Linked DNA regions of Astyanax mexicanus. The main gene of each other region encodes a partner of the protein of the gene in region 2 in a complex. Links are inferred from orthologs where the notes say so. Each region holds a gene or a part of one and is shown on either strand. Other genes may lie near its edges.

Region 1 (10,126 bases), on a different chromosome or scaffold from region 2:
AGGAACAGGCGAAATGCGGGGCCCGAGGTAGTCCATGTTTCCAGAATAGCGCTTGGTGGCAGGGTTTGATTCCCAGGAAGAAGGGGGAGGAGTGACACTACGAACTTGAGGTGGAAGTGGAGGATTCACCCGCTGGCTGCTGACACCAGACGCAAGATTCTGGGGGTAGGTGGAAGATCTGGGGAGGTCAGCTTGAGGGCCAGGGCTGTTAGAGCGGTACATGATGCCATCAGCCATGAGGGCTCCGTGCCACTGTGGAGCCAGAGATTCCTTGGAGCCCTTCCAACTTGGCCTCCGTAGAACAGGCTGCTGGATGTGAGAGGGGCCTGTGTAGGAAACACAAACACACACACGCAAACACACACGCACACAATTACCACCTTCAAACAGCAGTAGGAGAGACATGGCAACATTAAGAGCATTAAAACAGGCCATCTCGGCAGCATACAAACATATTAAAACACACACAAGCACAAACACCATTCCAGGTTTATTGGTATTGCTCCCATGTGACATTCCTACAGAATAAGTGACCACAATGCAATAGAACACTGGTTCTATGAATGAGCCAAAGAGTGGACATTGCTCCCCGGAGGCGGGGCACACCCACCAGCTGCTTTGATGGCTGCGTTAGCTGGACGTGCTGCTACAGCTGCCATCTGCTCTCTCACTGGGTCCTGGTAGCTCATCTTACTGATGTATTCTTTAGCTGCCCCCACACTGCGATTGTTGGTATTCCTCAGAGCACAGATCACCAGCTCCTAAACACACACACACACACACATTTAACACAATCACACATTTAAAAAGTCAAACTATCATCAAACATGCCTCCACATTTACTTAATCTGTTTTGCAGGTAACGAATGCAAACAAAATAAGTGAATTATATGAAACAGCGCAAAAAGACAAGCTTTCCTTTATTGTTTACATGAATAGAGCTTGCATTTAAACATCTTATGCAGGCTATAAGAAAATGTTATGCCTAAATTATTCCACCAAACAAAACATCAGAGTGTTTTCTCCAACAGAGCTTAAATTTTAACAAAAAGAAAGCATCCAACACATAACTGTGGCTGAAAACAAGTGCGCAAAACATTGCGCCATGCCTTGTACTACTGCTAAAACTTGTCTGTCCACATTCCACTGCTGTCATTCCTAAACTATGTTAAATGATCACCTGACAAGAGAACATTCCTATTTTGACAAACATATTGTAAACCTGTTAACCCATGCTGGGGAATTTATGTGCTGTATTTGGTCGGCTCTCCTACCTCGTCAAAGCCTGCCGCCAACAGCTCCTGTAGCATCTGCATGTTAACCTCATATCCACGACCGGTGCAGGTGGGCTCGTTGGCAAATGGCAATAATGATTCTCGAATCACCTGCAGGGCTTTGTGGTGGGGGTTTTTGGGGTTGGCACTGCGGCCCTGCTGGCGCGGGTCCTCTGGCAGGCTCTTGCCCCCACCTGTCTCCACCTTGCCAGCATCAGAAGACAGGCGGGAGAGGTTCCGTAGGCTCTCCCGTATCTCCTGCAACATCTGCTGACTGTTGCCACTGTAGTTGCTTGCCGGAAACGTCTTCGGCCGCATCTGCCTGTATCCTTCGAGTTTCTCGCTTCTCTTCATGAAAAACCATGTATCTCACCAATCCCCAGTGTGAATGAGATGTTGCACGGTGCACAGTGACACTGTGAAAGTGTTAACAGCAAGCAGTGGATTTTACCTGCATACCAGAGCGATGCCCAAGTGTCTGTATATGCAAGGGTCAGACAAACAAACAACATTCAAAAAGAAGGAGAAAGAACAACAGGGTATTAGAATGGTTTCACTATAAAGGTCTAGATATAAAGTTAGTCTAAATCAACTCAAGAATCAACAACACTAGTTATGTCTAAGCGGACACACACTTATTTTGATAAGACAGCCATACATAAACAAACCTATATGCTATCTATCCTTCTACACAGTTTGCAACGTAAACCTCAGATGAAAGTATTTGTGCAGGTGGATACAATATGTGAGCTCTGCCCTGCTGTCAGTACCTGGAAGATTTACTGTGAAACAAGCAAAGCGTCAGTGTGAAGTCATCTTTCCAGAATAACAACAATTTTTTTTAAACACAGACTAGCCACTATTAACAGCTTATAATAATATTAATAACACTAATTGTTTAGCAACTTTTTAACGTTTAAGCCAATGCTAACTTAACTAGCCCAAAGATGCCTAATAAAACTCTAAAGGTAACAAGTACAAAGCAATAAAATTAACTGCTGACTGCTGAACAAAAAACGAATTCAAATCTTTTACGTTTTTTTTCAGCAAGTTTTTTATTTTTTTAAAAAAAGGTCGTCCAACATCTGAATGTATTGTTTCGCTCACCCAGGTCCTAACCTAGTTATTACAACTAATTATATATTATTTAAGTTATATAGCGATAAATAAAGGCTAAATAAAGCTAGTTAACTAACCTAGTTAACTAACTAGGCAACTACCTAACCTGGCCACCCTTGTAAAAAGTGTATTAAAAAGTACTTAAGAGTATTAAAAGTATGTTCAAATTAGGTAAAGAATATTAAAAATGCATTTGCGGTTTAATATACTTTATGAAAAATACAAATTAAACATATTTTCTCTGTATTTCCATAAAATGCATTTTAACCAATATGCTTTAAATGATACGTTGTGTCGATAGAAAATATAAATATTGGCATTAAATACCGCTTAAAGTGCACTTTAGTGTATTTTTCCCCAGTGTCAATAAGGAACAATATGTGCATCAATAGGCAAAGTAGTACATTTACAACATACTTCAAGAGTATTAAAAATGTTTCTAAAAACACATACTTAAATCCACTTAAGTTCGCAGAAGATATACGAAAAAAAGCACTCAAAAGCACAATTTAAAACTTTTATATTGTGTTTAAATAGAGCTTAATTACAACTGAAATATACTTAAGTCGCCATAAATTGTCTCAAAATGGTACATTTACTAACGTTATGCATTTAAGTACATATTTTAATTCCATGTTGAGTATAATTTAAATATATATACTTAATACACTTTGTTATACAAGGGCAACAATTAGTTGCCAGCTGCTATACAAACAAACAAACCAACCAACAGAGGATACATTAACATTACTCCTCCAGCGGCCGTGTTTAAACAGGGTTAGTTCGATGTTATCTAGAGTTATTTAAATGTACGGTGTTATTTTATCTTTCAGTAGCGACTCTTCTAACAGAGCTTCATGTTGAACACAGAAGATCGTTAGCCTGGCTAGTTCAGGTTAGCTAAGCTAAGCTAGCTAAGCTAATGTTGCAGAGTTAGCAGCACAGCTTCACTAGCTACCACTCTAGTTAAAGACTAGTTTTATCCCGCTCATTTCGAAGCCTGCGGTGTTGAATTCTCTGCTCCTGAGAATAAACACTATAAACAGCGGTGTTTCTGCTGGGAGAAGTTCACTCCTGGTGATAGCAGAGCGCCGAGGCCTAAACACTAACGATTCAGAGCGGAGAGCGGAGCCTAGCTTAGCCGTTAGCCCGGACACCCAGCACAGACTTAAAGTTACTCACCGTCGACTAAAGAATATCCATACTGAACCCAGACAACATCTACAGCGCAGTGTCGGTCTGAGGAGCCGAGGAACTCCGCTAAAACTCAGTGAAAGTGTGTGAAAGATCCGCTAGCTCCAGCTAAAGACTCGGCTTTGTATTGACACGGTCGCCTTGGCACTCCGAGTCTGTCAGAGCGGAGATGCCCGGATGTGTGAACGCTTCACTCTGCTCCCGTACAGAGATCACTCAGCTCAGCTCAGCTCTCTCTCTCTCTCTCTCTCTCTCTCTCTCTCTCTCTCTCTCTCTCTCTCTCACACACACACACACACACACACACACACACACGTTTTTACGGAACCCCTGAAGGGACATGGTGTATTTATTACGTAAAAAAGTGGTGAGCATCAGATATTAAGTGGTGAGCACCACATACTAAGTAGTAAACACCAGATAGTAAGTGTGAGCCTCACATACTAGGTAGTGAGCACCAGATAGTACGTGGTGAGCACCAGATAGTAAGTGGTGAGCCTCACATAATAAGTGGTGAGCACCAGATAGTAAGTGGTTAGCCTCACATACTAAGTGGTGAGCACCAGATAGTAAGTGCTGAGCACCAGATACTAAGTGGTGAGCACCAGATACTAAGTGTAAGCCTCACATACTAAGTAGTGAGCACAAGATAGTAGGTGATGAACCTTGCATACTAAGCTGTGAGCACCAGATACTAAGTAGTGAGCACCAGATAGTAAGTGGTAAGCACTCCATACTAAGTGCTGAGCACCAGATACTAAGTGGTGAGCACCACATACTAAGTGGTAAGCACCAGATAGTATGCGTGAGCCTCACATACTAAGTAGTGAGCACCAGATTCTAAGTGGTGAGCACCAGATACTAAGTGGTGAGCACCTCAAATTATGTGGTGAGCACCAGATAATGGTAGCCAGAAAGCTATAGTTTAAACTGACATATTTCACAGTGAAATAAAGTTCTTAGCTAGCTAGCTAGTTTAGCTAACCTTAACTACTTTATTTTAGTGTGGAATGTTTTAGATAGGTAGCGAAAGGTAGCTATAAGCCCAGAGCTAACGATAACCAGCTAACTCTTATGGGACATGTAAACTAAACCAAGCTAAATTTGCTGTCTTTAAGTTAGCTTGCTCGATCTTTGCAAAAGCAGCCTACATTACAAGCTAAATAATCCACACAGTTTTGATAACTGGATAGAGGATTGCAGAGCATGTGCACAGCACAACGTAGCAGTCTGTAAAGTCATGTACAGATCAGTGACTATACAATATGGTGCTCACTGCTTACTATCTTGTGCTCACCACTTTTTTATGTAAAAAAAAAAAATACACCACATTCCTAAACTAAAACTTAACTAAACATAACTAAAAGTGCCCTTTAGAGTGGGAAAACTGGCCCCACATATGTGTGTGAGTAATGGGACCAGGAGGAGTTAAACATGGCCCCCTCTGGGCTGTACACTGAAAATAGGGCTAAATATGAGCCGTAATATTCAGGATACGTTTATATTACCAGGCTAAAAAAATCCGTAAACATGCCAAATCCATTTATTTTTTAAATGTTTTTAATTTAAAATCAGATTTGAGTCACTTCCATATACAGTCCTATATCAGATATGTATCCGATCCATGGACATGCGAAAATATGAACGGTCAAATCAGAGTTCATGCGTCTTTTTGCCTTTACGCATGCGTTATGTGCTTCTCTCACACATCTCTTGGCTATTGTTGAAAAATAGCAAAAACAAGCCGCCTGGCCTTTTTTCTACTCCTTGACCTGGCCATGTTCTTCAGACAAGCTGTTTATTCTCCACTCCAGCAAAAGATGCTCCACATATGAGCTGCTAACTCATCCATTTCCCTTTATAAAGCTACGAGTCGTGTCTCATATGACATTTTTTGTTGTTTGTGAAGAAGGTGACGTTTATACACATAATTACATTAATGTGCGCATGTGATGCGTTTTAGGGACAGATCCATTGACATTACACACAGATACAGGTATTTTACATTTGTGAATGTAAACAGTCAAAATAATAGTCAATAGTCAAATAATGATGCCCTTTAATGATATGGCCTCATGAGTCCATGCTCACCCACAATCCACCTAGCCCATGTTCCACCTATGTGACCACCTTACTCTACACAGGATTGCATTTGGTTTAGGAGCACCACAGAATTTAATAAAATGTAATCACCGTCCAATCAGATCCCACTATTTAATTGGAGAGGGGCTAAAAAAAAAAGTAAAAAGACAACAACAAGAATATGGATGCAGCATCACCCTCCACATCAACAATAATGGATGATATTGTAGTCTATGCTTTTTGGAAAGTTTTAATATATCTGCCATTGTATGTGGAGCACTACTATGTATGATGTATAAAATAGTATGTAATCCATTTTTTGCCTGTCCTAGCAAGCAAAATCACACAATATTGGATCTGCTAGACACCCTTTATGTTTATTTTTGTGCAAATTGATTCAACCATGATTCAAACTATACTTACATTAAATCTGTATATCCTGTTTGTATTACATTATTCAAGTCTTTCTTTGTTCCTTGATATCAAGGCAGTTCTTGTAACTGTTAGCAAACCATGCTAACAGTTACAAGACATGACTTTGCAGCATATGCTAGTCTTGTATCAAAGTAGTTATGTAGCTAGGTTTTAGTACTTCAGATATACTGATTCGATTGTTATATGGTTTTATTTGTGTGCAAGCCTGATAACTGCTTGTGAATCATGTTAACTTGGTATCTTTTGTGTTCCTGTAGGGCAGTGGTTCTCAAACTGTGATGTGAAGCATTCCAAGGTGGTACACTGGATGACCTAAGAAAATAAAAATCTGCTTGCCTTAAAATATTGAAATCAAAGGACTGAAATCAATGTTTCCACCATAAATGTCCTAATATTGCATTTGCTTGTGTGCAGTTAGAACATGTATGTAACCCTAAACCTCAGGCCTTCACTCTCAGATCGACAGTTTTATAATTATTCAGATCAGTTTTATCTTGGCCCTAGTGTAAAACCCTGTAAAACACCACAAGTAAACTATACTAATATGGGCATGTTATATGTTTGTAACCTACACTAATCTAGCACACAATATGGACATTGGGGTACCTGTTCATTGTTTATCCTGCTTGTATTGCAGTAAAACTCTCTCTACTTCTAATTTAGGTGCTTTAATTAATCACTTAGTTCAAACTAAATCAAGCTATTAAAACGTGTCCAAGAATTATTGGAATCTTGGCATAACTGCACTATTAATAAAGTAAAGTTGGAAAGCAGTGACATCACAACCTTTACACTGTTTTAGACACTTGCTACAAGTTCATGCATGCCAGGAAATAAAAAGCGAACATTTTGTTTTTAAATTTGAAGGCAAAACAAACTGTATTCCTAAAATTACCCACCTAACATGGATCACTGCATCCAATTTTCAAATTAGAGGGCACTTAACAACATTTTTTTAGACACATTACCTAATTGACAGGTACATCACCAGATTGTTTTGCATTAAAAGGAAACCCTAGCTGTCACTCAACATTTTTACACCCATATAAAGGGCAGCCAATAGGGCAATATGCCAATTAGAGTTATTCATATCCAACCCACACACAAATCAAATTTCAGTCTAACTGGAGATGCATCTGACAACCAAGTGTAAATGCAAGTAGTTAAATCTCATCAATCTTACGATCTAGTCACAAAGGGCATGCTATATTTTACCACTCAAAACACATCAACATTGAAGAAAAAAAGAAGAAAATAAATGTTAATGGCAGCATTTGGTTTTGAAAGCAGTCCATTTTTTGTACATTTTCTATTTACTGAAAAGGTTTTTTTTGCATGATTGTGTCTGCATGCCTAAAACATTCTGCGCTTCCGTAGTGTGGTCATTTTTTGTTTCATAAAATAATTATTTATACACAATTAGAGCCTTAGTATGTTATGTTGTTTACAAAATAAACAAAATGTACAGATTTGGTTTGCTACAAAATTTTTGAAACTATTATTTCTACGAAATAAAACTTTAACATTTGTTTTGTTGCAGTGATATATTATTGAAATTAATAAAATATATTTTAACATCACGTGGCCAAGAATATCACTCACCCCTACTAGTCAAATTAATATCAAAAGGTAAATAATAAAAGGTCTACATCATGACAACTATTACAATTACATCAGGAATACAGACAAGTTGAATTGACTGATAAATAATAGTCCAATAAAAGTCTTGTCATTTTTTTACAATGCAATGACCTCTTTGGCGAACATTTGATAAACTTTGTGACGATTCATATGCAGTGCACACTTTCAAACTCAAATAAAAAGATCACTCTTTTATTAAGTGCATTATCCAAGGAAAGCATAACAAAACAAACAAAAACTGTTGGTCAGGTGAACATTTACTGAAAATAAATCACAACTCTTTGGTGCTGCGTATCACACAGGAACCTGTCTGTTTATGTAAACTGCCTCTCCATCAGTGCCACACACTAAGCACTGTCCAAGCACATCCAGACTGTTGACAGACAGAGTCTGGCTGGGAAGCATGTGAGTGGTCTCCAGCCTGCCCTTGCTGGAGTCTCCATTGAGCCAGGCACTGATGAGGGACTGGTTTCCCCCTGCAGGAGCTGCCGCACTGCGGGACATGATGCTGGTGTTGCGGCCTAAGAAACACAGACACAAAATAAAAGAGGAAAGACATTTGAAGTTTGTATAAGACTGAAAGTCAAGGCACTTTTAAAAGGTACTGAACATGCAGCATCAACACTATAGAATAGCCCATAATCTGCCCATATACTGTCTTCTAATGTTTGGGGACACCTATCTACAGTTTTTAAGGGGGCATATTTTTTGTCAGTATGCAGGATCATAACACTATGTCCAAATGTTTGTAAACACCCCTGCATTCAGATACTTTAAGTGGCACTCATTACTAACACGGATGTTCAATGCACTCAAATAAAGCTTACTTACAATACAATAAGACTTTCAAAAAGATAATCCCAAACCTTACAACCTCATGAGATCATCCTCGTTTCTGATGCATCATATCATCAGGGACAACCAGTCGGGTAAAATGTGTATAATGGATGACAGCAATTTCAGATAATCTCATTCCTTATAAGCAAACCGTTGTTACTTATATGAGTGTTTTCATACTATTATAAACACGGTATAATCTCAAAATGCTAAATATGGCAAAATACTTAAGTTACATTAAGATATTTTCAGGATAAGTAATTTTCTCGAGTAATTGGAAATCCAAATTCAAAATGATGTTTGATTGACAGTGTGTACCTGAAGTTGCTATGTGGAATTTTAACAACCTAAGCCACTTGGATTAAGTAATACTGGACATTGGTCTAACTTCGACTGTAAAGGCTTTAGTTTTCTTTTAGTCAGACCCTGGAAGCCATTGGATTTTACTTACTCTGCAGGAATGAGGGGGTGTCTAAGCCAGAGGAGGTCTCCCAGTGCAGTAGAGAGCCGTCTTCTGAACAAGTAAACAGGTGGTCTGGGTTTGTCGGGTGAAAATGGACCTCCCACACTAGAGAAGAACAAAAAAGATACAATAATCAGTGCCAATGAGTTGACTTGACTTGCAGCTTTCCATACTGACAGATGAAGTACTCACTTTCAGCAGAGTGGGCTTCCATAAGAGAGAAGGGCATGTTGCCCTGCCTCACGTCCCAGATGCATAGCATACCATCTTGGCCTCCAGTGGCCACTATATGCTGCTGGTTTGGGTGTCTGTCCACACAGTGCAGTGGCACTCTGTCCCCAGTGCTACAGAAACAAAAGACATTGTATTACTGCTATACTGCTATAACAGAATGGAGGGAACTGCATGAAACATATCAAACACTGTAACTGCAAATAATGTTATTTTGAAGCTATTTATTGACCCTGTACAGGTAAAGATCTTTTAAACTGATGCAGAAGAACTGATGTGTCTGGTCTGTAATTGCAATTACACCAGCAAACAGTAGTTGACGGAGACAAAAAAAAAATAAAAAGGCCAGATTACAGTACTAAAAAATACAATTGCTCTCATATGCTTTGCTCCAGTATGCTAGGGAAGTCTGCATCAGGCTACGGCTTAGATTCAATCCAGAAGCAGAAATTGATATTTACATTGCTTGTAAAAATAGCATGATTTAAACTCTTCTCAATATAAGATCTGAATATCTGTGGCCATTTCCTGTTGCATAATAGCAAGTAGTTTTCTTTAGAGGTTTAGAAAGTAAGAAAGCAATGCTTCCAGATATAAAACAGAGAAATAAATATATGAACAGAGACTCAAATCAAGAGGACATTCTGACTGAAGTAAAAATAATAATAATATTAATAATAATAATAATAATAAATATAGCCGCAAGCGGCGATTTACGGGGTTCGAGCGTTACAGGCAAAGAGACCCCTGGAGGCCAGTTAGGCTTAAAACATGTTGCCGGTTGACCGGCATCGCCAAACTGGATGAGGATGACCAGCATGACCGTGAAGACCAAGCTAGATTACCAGCA
Region 2 (12,042 bases):
AGTTGATGTCTGACCTCAATCATTTTTGCTGACCTAAAATATAACTCATTTTGTTTGTTTGTTTTTTTTATCATTGATTGGCCATTGACCATCTTAATAATTAAAAGTTTATTGCTTTATAAAAGAGTGTAATAAGTTGCTATAAACTCTCAAAAAAAATGTCATTGGGGAGGGGTTCCCCCAGGGCTGTGTGTTCAAGTACATATATATTTGTACTATACTCATTTGCAATTGTTTGTTCCCTGCAGATACATTTACACTGTTTGGTTTTACTTTGGATTAACAAAAATGTACCATCCCCCTTCTCCTGACAGTGTATAATGATTAGATTAGTGTCATATACGCTCTTGAATGACAAAAATATTGTTTAAAGCAATAACTTCTGCGAAAATATATCATCCAAACAAAAGTAGGTATAACGATGGACCTACGTTTAGATGTGTGTAAGCCATTAAAGCTCACCTTCCGCGAAAATCCGATTTTTCTTGTTTTTTGTGGAATACAGTAGGTCTCTCCGAGTTGAATGTGTACACCTGCACATTAAACTGTTTTGCAGCCCCCATTGTCTGCAGGAGCTAAGCCAAGAAATCCCCCCTCCCTCCCTCCGAAAAACGGGTGAATTTTGAATTATCTTTCTGCCTACGTAGGCAGAAACTCACAGACCAGCCCACCTTGGCTCGAGAAACTCCCAGAGGCGGAGCTGAAGCGACGCAACATCACCGCTCATCAGTTAGGAGGTGGGAGGCAGTGAGCGGCAGAGCGGCGGAGAGGCGTCGCAGTGCTCCTAGCCAATCAGAGGAGAGATATTTGCATGCTGTTTGCATGTATGAATATTCATGAGCAAAGCTGGAATCCGGTCATTTTGGACACACCCCTAAAACAGTCCATTAAAAAAGAGCTATACAGAGACACCTGAGCACTTTTTCTTTACAAAAACGGCTCACATGTCATTCATTCATACTAGAGACCACAACTAGACATTTTAAAATGAAAGAAAAAACGACGGAAGGTGAGCTTTAACCGATTAACTGTCTGTGAGTAACAGTACCAGCAGCCCTGTTCTGTTTAGATAGACTGCCCTGCTTAAGTGTGAACTGCAACACGTGAATAATTGTTATATTGACATGTAATCGACACAATCAAGGCATATGGTAAATACATATTTGGTGGGTGGAAATGAGCAAGCAAGGAAATGTGAACAGAATGCTCCAACTGTTGCTCAGCAGGGGAACACCAGCAGCTTCTATATGGGATGTGCTGTGGAGGTGGGAGACAGGCAGACGCGCTGACAGATTTGGGTCAGGATTTGAAATGTTGGTAATTTTTAATCAGCTCTTTTGATGCAAGGCGGTGCGCACAGACACCGAACATCAACGCAATGGCTTGAAAGCCTTTTTATCCTGCCTTTCTATGTGGATCCTTTCAGTTGTTGCATGACAGCCTTGCATAGTTCAAAGAAGATATGTGCACACTGCACCAACTTCAGTCTAGTGGAGATATAATTATTGCCTTTTTTTATTTAAAAATAAAATGACAAAACTGAAGTAATGCCAGACCTCATGCATTTAATATAACTGTGACTGAATTTAGAGCAAAATTTATTCCTCCTCTGCTCAGTTCTTTGAAAGGCCTGAGCTCCAGCAGGACTGTGCCGCAGCCTCTGGCTCTCTTAGACCACTGAGCAAAATGTGCATTTTGACTGCTGTTTACCCGTCCTTGTTAACGTTTGCAGAGCCGTGTTGTGCACTTTCACCTTGTTGTGCACCTTGGCATGCAGTGAAAGGGATTTGGGAGAATCAGCCCTCGCTTTTGCACGCCTCTATGGGCAGCTCTCATGCAGTACTTTCAGGAATGTGTCCTAGGTACTTGTTTACAAATTTCTGCCATCTTGGTTTCCTGGCTACAGCCAAACCTGTTGCACCAGACAAAGAGAGAAATATGTGGCCCGAACACTATCATGTTCCAAATTTGCGAGCTGAGAGAGAAGAACAAAGTAAACAGAAAGGTACAGTAGTTGCCTAATTTCCCTCAAAAATGAAAAATGAATTACACAAAAAAATCAGGATAACCTTTTTGCAAACCCATCTTAAATCAATGCAACATGATCTGAACCAATAACCAAAGCTTAGAAATGCTCATTTAATCCCAAGGCATTCCTGTAAAGATTTTGTGCCAAAGTCCAAATGAATTCCAGTAGTAATACTGAAAACCTCTTTTGCAATAATACAAAAATTGTTAAGGCTCAACGCAAATGCAAGCCTACATATGCATAATTTATGTTACAAAGTTTCTTTATGTTCTCTACAGAACAGAAACACTTTGCTAGGAAATCTTCAAAAAAGAAAAAAGAAAAAGGTGGTGTGACAGGAATGTGTGTGAGCTAGCATGATTCATGTGTGACTAGACTAAAGAGAATGGATGAGCATAACTGAAATAGCAAGCTAGCTATGATTGTAGAAGCAGGCAGGAAATCTGTAAAAGAAAAAATGCAGAGTGAATTGATTTGCCCCACAGAAGTCCCCTCTCTCTGTATACACCACAGATTATGGGTGTGCCATATCGAATCAAAAACAATATATCATGACACAGTAATATTGTAATAAAAATAAGAAAAGGCTTAAATCTGTGTTTATTTTTACACTAACAATATACTTATTTTTATGTTTCAGTGTTTTATTATATCACAAAGAAAATATTGTTAGCATTAAAATACCATGAAATATTGTGATCTTAGCTACTTCAAGCCCATATCGACAACTAATAACATCACAGATCAGATAAATTATTACCCATCCCTTGGGTTCATCCAGCTGGTGGTGTGGTTGAAGGTGTCTATGTAGTTTAACCCTCTATGGCATTAATTAACTTTTTGAAGCTTGGGAGTCCCTGTAGATATAGCTGGCAAACTTAAATTTAGAGTCTGTCTTCTGATAACAGGCTGATCATTTGAATCAGGTGTTTAAGAGCAAGGAAGCACCCAAAACATGGATGCTTTTTGGGTAGGAGGAGGTCTCCACCAGGACCAGAATTAAAAGAGAACCACTGCTTCATCATGATTAATCTGACAATGGAGTTCTAATTCTAATGAAAAAAAAGTAAGTTCACAACAGGAAAGTAGGAATATAGTAAGAATACAGACAGACAAATATACAGTTCTGGAAAAAATAAGAGACCACTTAAAATGATGAGTTTCTTTGATTTTACCAGATTGAAAACCTATGGAATATAGTCAAAAGGAAGATGGATGATCACAAGCCATTAAACCAAGCTGAACTGCATGGATTTTTGCACCACGGATGGCATAGTTATTCAAAAGCAGTGTGTAAGACTGGTGGAGAAGAACATGCCAAGATGCAATAAAACTGTGATTAAAAACAGGGTTATTCCACCAAATATTGATTTACGAACTCTTAAAAACTTTATGAATATGAACTTGTTTTCCTTGCATTATTTGAGGTCTGAAAGCTCTGCATCTTTTACGTTATTTCAGCCATTTCTCATTTTCTGTAAATAAATGCTCTAAATGACAATGTTTTTATTTGTAATTTGGGAGAAATATTGTCTGTAGTTTATAGAAAATACAACAATGTTCATTTTACTCAAACATACACATAAATAGCTAAATCAGAGAAACAGATTCAGTCTTTTAATTTTTTCCAGTGCTGTACTTCTTTCACCTACTCTTCCACATATACATTTTATGTAATGCTTACCTATATGCCTAATTGTATGGGAAGAGATGTAACGTTGTATTAAATATGGATAAATGAGAAATAATGTATGATATGGACCAAAACATTGGTTTGTTTCCCGAGGGCAACACTATGCCTTAGAGGGTTAAGTTAATTAAACTAGTGACTTTTTCTGAATAAATAAAATATTATAAAATATCAGTGTTTATTATTATCACAAAGAAAATATCATTATAGCAAAAAATACACTAAAATATCACAATATTAATTACTTTAAGACCATATCGCCCACCCCTATTACAGATCATAAATTATTAGGTTACCTATCCCTGGGGTCAATCCAGCTGGTAGTGTGGTTGATATGGTCTATGTAGTAGACCTTCCCGTCAAAATCTCGGGCTTCTTCCCAACCCTCTGGCAATGGTAACTCCTTCCTTGGCATGTCCAACTAGTCTCCATGTAATATGCCCGCTAACGTTGAGTCTTGTAGATCAATTTGACGGCGAAGAAGCATGTGTAGTTTTCGGGCTGATCCAACGCTAAAACAGCGCCCAAGTGCCATTAACTGCTGAGGAGCGAGGTGTGTGCGTTTCTGGGTCTGGGAATCTGGGGATAATCCATTATATTTCAGGGTATTCCAGGGTATTCCAACAGTATTCCCTTCTGCTCCTACAGATTCCACCACAGATCCTACAGTTTACAACGGAGCATCCTGGCAGAATCCGTCCACCAGGCAGGAGCAGCCTACCAACAGCCTACCAACAGCTACAGCCGTGAGCACTGTAGTTATCTAGCTAAATATAAAAAAGTAAAAAAATAAAAATAAAAAAAACTGTGCTTATGAAATAAAGAGTTGTTTAGCTAAATATTTTTTTAAAAAAAAGTAAGAGAAAAAAAAGACTAGGCTTATGAAAGAGAGTTGCTTAGCTAAATTAAAAAAGGGTAAAAATACTCTGTGCTTATGAAATAAAGAGTTGTTTAGCTATTTTAAAATAAACTAAGAATCAACTCCGAAACATTACACACATTAGCTACCTAGTTAGCTAACCTAGACAAGTTGCAAACTCAGGCTGTTCCAAAAAGTTTCAGCTAGACTTTTTCTCTATGAAGAGAAGTAACTTAGCAACCTAAGCTAGCTTAGTTAACTAAGTCTAAAACAGGAACCCTAAAATACTAACACTAACAAAAGTTCTTCAAAGAAAACTGAGAGAAAATTACACCAAGCTACGTCTATTCCACGTCCACCCCCGCAAAAACAAACTCCTCCAAAAACCAAAACAACAAAACATGCTGGAGTTCCCCTCCTCAGTGCCTGCTGCTGCTGCTGTCCACCATGTTTACGCTAACCTAGCTAGCCAACGTTAGCGCTGTTGCTGCGTTAGCCTGTTAGCTTAGCAAGTGAGCCAACCCAGCTTACGCTTGTTAACTAGGAGCAGACCCCTCTCTCTCTCCCTCAGTTCTCCCTCAGTTGTGCTCCGCACAACCCTCGCCCTCTCTTCTGACTGCCTCTATCTGTTATCCAGGGTCTCCAAAAAACATTTCTTCAGAAACTCGCCACTTCCAGCCGTATATTTCCAGCTCTCGCTTCTCCTTTAAGTGGCTGCGGTTCTCCCTCAGCTCCCAAGCCAAGCTCGGTCGCTATGCTGCGGTTGGATGAATGGCGTCATACAGGTGATGACCGTAATTCTCCCAATAGCGGAGCCACGTACAGACCGAGCACTTTGGAAACACTCGCTGGCTAACCTTCCTACCTGTCCGCAGCACAACACATCAGTCCTCACAGCGTCTGCTGAGGATAATTTCTGAATAATAATATTATAAAAATATACTAATATTATCAGTACATAAAGCATGTTACATATATATATATATCATATCACTGTCCGATGAAAACGACAGTTGGGGTTAAACGAAGTTTATCCATTAGAATTTTAGTTTTCTAGCTACATAATTAGAAAACAATCTGTCCCTACACTTTTGTCATTTTTTGTAAATGGACCAATAAAGAAAGAACTGCTTCAAATTTACCTGATATAAACTATTTTTACTGTTCACCAACGTCTACTGAAAGTTCAGAAGGTTTTTATCTCTCTCTCTTCTGTTAAGGTGTTGATTTGGAGATACGTGTTTTTTCCACTGGGCAGTAACAACATGATACAGCTCAGTTTCTGAATTAGTTTCTCTGATTTTGCTATTAATAGCTATATGTTTGAGTAAAATTAATATTGTGGTTTTATTCTAGACCTCAAATAATGCAAAGAAAACAAGTTCGTATTAATATAAGTTTTAAGAGTTCAGAAGTCAATATTAGGTGGAATAAACCTGTTTTTTATCACAGTTTTATGCATTTTGGGAGTGTTCTTCTCCACCAGTCTTACACACTGTTTTTGGATAACTTTATGCCACTCCTGGTGCAAAAATTCAAGCATATCAGCTTGGTTTGATGGCTTGTGATCATCAATCTTCCTCTTGATTATATGTCAATTTGGTAAAATCAAAGAAACTCATAATTTTCACGTTTCTTTTTTAGAGCTGTATATTACTGATTATAAAATGCCAGCTGCATCTTTCCCGCCTTTACAGGAGCAAGCTGGAGTGACGTTTCCTGGCTGCGGGCGAGCAAGTGTTTAGCGTAATTCCTTCAGTCCGTTTATTGCATTTACAGAGTGCGGCTCCATACTATGAAGTGCTTTATCATATATAACACATTCACTTTCATTCAAGCTGTATTTATTTGATCAAACAAGCAGCTGAACAACAAAGTTAACAGGGCCCGTCCACTTCCACAGCGGAATTAAACACGAACAACGCCCTCCAACGGAGGAAGGGTGAACATCGCCAGTGTATTTATTGCAGCTGAGAGTTTAAAAAGGCACACTGAAATTTTCAGAACACGATTAGATAGGATGGTAATTAAATTGTGTAATTAAAAAGTGTTATTTGGCTTTTAATTTTAACTTTTCAACTATTTTTTTACACTAATGTAGTGCAACATATGTCAGAGTGATGTAGTTATGATTGAGCCATTGGCAATAATACACACATTTACATTTTTGTAAAAATGTTATGTTTTAAGTAATTCTCTGAATATATGTTTTTAGAAACAGCAGTTACTAATTCCAGATGTCCCAAGTCTCCTGGAAATATCTGTAACGGCTCCCTGATGCCCGCAAGTCAGATAAAATCACCCAGAATCTAAAACAAGTGGCCCAGGAGTAAACACATACATTTGTTAAAGAGAATTTGACTTTACTAATTTACTATATTGCATCAAACATTTCACAATAAAACCCTAACATTTGGCTAACATGAAATAAACAAAAAAGTACTATAATAAATAAGCAATATAATTATTAATACTTCTATAAATATTTATACATAAAGAATTTATATACAGTGTGCATTTTGTATTGTTTATACACATAAGAAATACAAACAAAATGTCTTTCCATTTTTGTCAGTGAAAAATCTTTCCAAAAATCGTGAATTTAATCAAATGATCAACAGATTCATCAATACACTCTAGTCATGTCCATTAAAGAACAGGGTGAAAGAGGATAATAATGTATACAGAGAAACAGGAGTACTGCAGTCTGTAATAACAACTACAATGTGTCCTATTATTATTATTATTATTATAAGATGGACAATGAGTGTAGAAATAAGAAGGAGGTCATAATATTGTGACTTGACTGTGTATTATAGAATTCAACTCATGCATGTTTTTTTTTTTGGCTAAAATTTTTACTTACTTGTGCTTACTTGTTTTTGAGAAAATTAATCAGCTCTGCATCTTTCGTGCCATTATAAAGTTCTTCACATTGTCAGTATTAACTTAAGTTTTACTATTAAGTTTTATCTATTGTAATGGAGTAAAATCAAACCTGTTTTATACATTAAGTTTTTTACAATTTAGATTTCAAGCATCCACACCCAATTTCTATTTCTAGACTGAAGACTTGCAATGCTGCTTTAGGAGGATGCTGGGACTGCAGCACACGGTCTTTACCAAGTTTGCCTGCTATTGTGTTTATACCTGGCAACCTGAGGTGTGGAAATAGAACTGGGAAATGGGCAGGGTCAGAGGTGGAGGAATCAGAGTGTAAAACACAAACAGTTTTCCAACATACTAGATGTCAAGAGATAAGCAGGTTTTCTTAATATGCTGTATGATGGCATATGCTGATCATTTTATTACTTTGTAAAGTAAACAATGAATAAGTAAAAATTATGTGAGTCAGGTACATTTTTGTGATTGTCCTAATAGATTATTAATATTAACTAAGAATTGCTCCACAAGTAAGCTTGTGTCTGGACTTGTTATAGGGTAAGTAAGCTACAGTAGCTGGGTTATCATGTATCTACAGAGAGTTCTTTCTCCTTCTCTGTGGTACAGGAACATACTTTAATCAAATGTTCTGCAGATAACATTCACTGCCTGCTGCACATCTTCTGAACATGAAGATAATGACTGCTTTTTATGTAAGTCATCACAGCTGTATCTAATGAATATTTTTAATGAAGAACTGGCTCTGTTCCTGCTTTAATCACAGAGCAAAAAGACTGCATGGTCTGCATGCTGTTGGTGACTCCTACTGCAGTAGTGGGCCAAGCATTAAACATGGGGCCTCTGGGATATGTGGTCAGCACAGATCCTTAAAAACTGAGGAAGCAGTAATTGTACTGCACAGATATATCTCAATATCATGCCTAGCTGTGTTCACAACAGCATGGCCATAGTGATCTTGGTACTGGATGAAAGCACTTATTTAACTGCAGTTCTTTTAACTGACATCCAGTGTCAGGAATCTGACGAGATTCAGCTAAGATCCCTGTGGAATGGAATGCTGCTTAAGAATTTGTTTACTGAGCTCTATACTGGTGATGATAAATAAATTAATCCTGCTTTAAGATAATTTATTTGGTTAACTGAATCTGACACCCTGTGTCTTATAAATAAATGTTCAAAAACCCATCTACCTGTAATGGAATCTATATTCACACTGAACACTGTTCAAATTTATAGCATCAAAATCCAATTCCTGAAGTCTATATCCATATATTTGGTTGCTGTATTAATGACACACATACTGGAGGCTAAACCTAGCTAGTCACATTAATGAGCTTAGTGTAACATGCAATTCACTTAAAGATTCTGTATATAAAACTATGATTCTTTCTGCCCGTAAAAGTCACACAAGGGTACATGCATCTCAGACTAAAATAAATGCTTTCTATTAAGCCACCGCTCCATTTTTAATTCGCAGCACAGAGTTATGTATGAAGCCCAGAGAAAGTCGTGGAACATCCCGCACTCTGCCATCTTGCATGTGCAATGCTGCTTGGGGGTCACTGTCTTGTCTCTCACCCTCCTGCATTCACATTGACAGGCAACAGATTAACAGAAGACCATTCATTTCCTGTGGAAGGGGTCAATTTGTAGCCATGACACAGTGACAAGTGGCAAGCGACAATTTGGAAAAAAAGTAAAGCTAGGAAGAAAGTAGTGGATAGCTCGATAACTTGGTAACTTGGGTTCACACCCACCCACGATAGCGTGAACAGCCTCAAACACACCCACAAGTGACAAGCGTTGGACAATGCAACAAAACTGTTGCCTGTTAGCGTCAAAGCAAAGTTAGAGAAGGCAATACAAAACGAAACATTTTAGCAGGGCAGGACTAACATGCATATGTGTCTAAACTGGCTATAAACACCAAAAGCACAGAACAACACACACAGAGGGTGTGTGACTATATTCTCCACTGAGAATGCCTATACTCCACTGCATTTGCACATAGATATTATTTGTTTGTTGCATTTTATTGTCAGTTTAATGCTTAAAATGTAGTATATATAATATTTAACCACTGAAACTAATAAAATGAAAACGCTCTATTTCACAAAAGCACTGATTTTCATATCAACTACTACATGAATAGAGCATGACATTTGTGTAGGCCACAGACATAGGTTCAGGATTCAGGATTAAAGGGGTTACAACCCTTCCACCATCTACAACCTAGCCATCTAGCCAACTCACTGTGTAATTAATTTAGATGAAAGTTATTTAGTTGGACCTAATAAGTGCTAATACTCCCAAAGTATCACTTGAGAACAAAGTTCTACTTCATCCACTCAACCATTAAACATTTGTGATTGGATTTCTTGTGCGCTTTGATCGTTTTCCACTCATTAATAAAGCTGTTCAGTAGGTTTGCATTTACATTCTTTTCTGTGGTTGAATGCCCTGAGCCCCCAAACTCCACATGTTTAAGCTAGAATATACTTAAGGGCTTATCACCTACTTGCCTGTGACTAAATTGCCACAAAGTTCACTTTTCTTCTCACAAGGATGCAGAGGTTATATTTAAAAAAACAGCTCTTTATTTTCTGATGTTTAGATATTGTGATTTGGTGAATTGTAAATTATATATTTTTTTAAAACCACAAGTATATATATATATATATATATATATATATATATATATATATATATATATATATATATACATATATATAGCTCTGGAAAAAATAAGAGACCACTTAATGATGATGTTCTGAAAACCTTTGGAATATAATTAAGAGAATGATGGGTGATCACAAGCCATCAAACCAAGCTGAACTGCTTGAATTTTTTAACCAGGAGTGGCATAAAGTTATCCAAATGCAGTGTGTAAGACTGGTGCGGGAGCTCATGCCAAGGTGCATTAAAACTGGGATTAAAAAAAACAAATATTGATTTCTGAACTCTTAAAACTTTATGAATATTATAAACTTGTTTTCTTTGCATTATTTGAGGTCTGAAAGCTCTGCATCTTTTTTGTTATTTCAACAATTTCTCATTTTCAGCAAATAAATGCTCTAAATGCTCTAAAATTGTTATTTGTAATTTGGGGGAAATGTTGTCCATAGTTTATAGAATAAAATAACAATCTCCACTTTACTCAATCATATACCTATAAATAATCAAATCAGAGGAACTGATTCAGAATCTGAAGTGGTCTCTTAATTTTTTTCAGATCTGTATATATATATATATATATATATATATTTTTTTTTTTTTTTTTTTTTTTTTTTTTGGCCAGATGTTCTTTTCTATCAGGAGAACAGCCCTCCTCTTTCTCCTCCTCCCACAGGAACGCCACGCCCCGCCTCCCGCCTTCGACCAATCAGCGACTGAGAAACAGGCGGGCGCTTCTCAACACAAAACAAGCGAGGCAGTCACGTGTGCTGGTAACCAGGCGCTGAGCTCGAGCGGCACGGCGCGGCGCCACAGCAGCAGCAGCGGCTCCACCACCACCAACCCCACAGCCAACAGCAGCTGCGCCGTCCCCCCGGCTCCGCTCCGCCTCGCCCGGCCCACATGGTTCTGCTCCGGCACATCTCTGTCGCTCTCACCGCTGCGGTGACCGCCGTCGGAGCCGCTTTATTCGTAGCTGTAAATTTACTGTACAAGAGGCGCGTATGGACGCCGGAGGACTACTACGTGTTCAAGGAGGTGAGCTGTGTTTGTTTTGTGAAGTGTCTCAGTCTCACAGCGCCGCCGCAGAGTTCCTCAGGTGGGGCAGAGGTGAAGATTACACTGCGCACACAGTCACACAAACTTCCGGAGCAGGAGTTTACCTGCTGAACCTGACCGTGTGTAGCTTACAGCTCTGAGGAATACTTCACTGAGGTGTTCCAGCCTTTCAAACGGCTCCTCAACTGAGGAGTAAATTATTATTAAGAATATATAAGTCTAGTCAGCAAAAAAGGAGGAAAAAGAAGTGAAACAGCATAAAAGGGAAGGAAAGTAGGCTACCTATTCCTAAATATTTACAAGTTGCAATTTCTAAATATATATCCTAATGTTTTACATAAAGTTTGGCAGAGAAATATATATTGCAATACATTTTGTTAGCTAACATAATACCCTTCTCTCTGCATGTTTTGGATATGGCCAGTGCTTTAAAAACACTGTCAAACTGACTTTTTATTTACAAAGGAAAGCAAATATTTGGCCACCCAAAATATTTTGAACAAAATGGCCAAAAAGTTGGGAAGAATATGTAAAAACATCAAATAATAAAAAAAAAATTGGTGTGTTTGTTAGGATGTTAAAAATTGTAGTTTTGTAATTGCCTTTTCTTTAAAAAGCTAGACAAACATATCTTTTGGAGGCAGTGGTGAAAAAAAAGGCAAAATTAATGAAAAACCTAAATGTAAGAAATGTGTGTGGTGGTCGGATAAAATGTTTCTAATTTTGATCCAACTCTCTGTAATGTGCACAATACTTTTCTAAGAATATAATGGATATCGCAGTCCTGAAGAAAACACAGACCAACTGAGTATATTTAATTACAAACAA

What was found. Proteins that work in one complex are often made in the same cells at the same time.
Region 1: the proteins of wwc1 (region 2) and lats1 are in contact, whole or in part, in a crystal structure (PDB 6J68), measured with the Mus musculus proteins. The link is inferred for Astyanax mexicanus from reciprocal best matches to the Homo sapiens genes WWC1 and LATS1. Residues at the interface, in NP_740749.1 of Mus musculus: Asp17, Tyr23, Ile25, Asp26, His27, Arg30, Thr31, Thr32, Ser33, Trp34, Asp64, Val67, Tyr70, Ile72, Asp73, His74, Lys77, Thr78, Thr79, Gln80, Ile81; in NP_034820.1 of Mus musculus: Ala546, Glu547, Ala548, Pro549, Ser550, Tyr551, Gly553, Pro554, Pro555, Pro556, Pro557, Tyr558, Leu562, Leu563.

Annotation. Positions count from the first base shown.
Region 1 is NC_064408.1:49,368,691-49,378,816, reverse strand, and holds the start of lats1 (serine/threonine-protein kinase LATS1), read right to left. Parts: upstream 3,795-10,126; 5' UTR 3,576-3,794; intron 1,753-3,575; 5' UTR 1,629-1,752; coding exon 1,275-1,628; intron 762-1,274; coding exon 611-761; intron 327-610; coding exon 1-326. Other genes in the region: nucleoporin Nup43, read right to left, coding at 8,040-8,266, 9,034-9,150, 9,238-9,389. UniProt on the Homo sapiens protein: Negative regulator of YAP1 in the Hippo signaling pathway that plays a pivotal role in organ size control and tumor suppression by restricting proliferation and promoting apoptosis.
Region 2 is NC_064424.1:17,689,855-17,701,896, reverse strand, and holds the start of wwc1 (protein KIBRA), read right to left. Parts: upstream 5,356-12,042; 5' UTR 4,135-5,355; coding exon 4,016-4,134; intron 1-4,015. Other genes in the region: arl10 (ADP-ribosylation factor-like 10), read left to right, coding at 11,059-11,193. UniProt on the Homo sapiens protein: Regulator of the Hippo signaling pathway, also known as the Salvador-Warts-Hippo (SWH) pathway.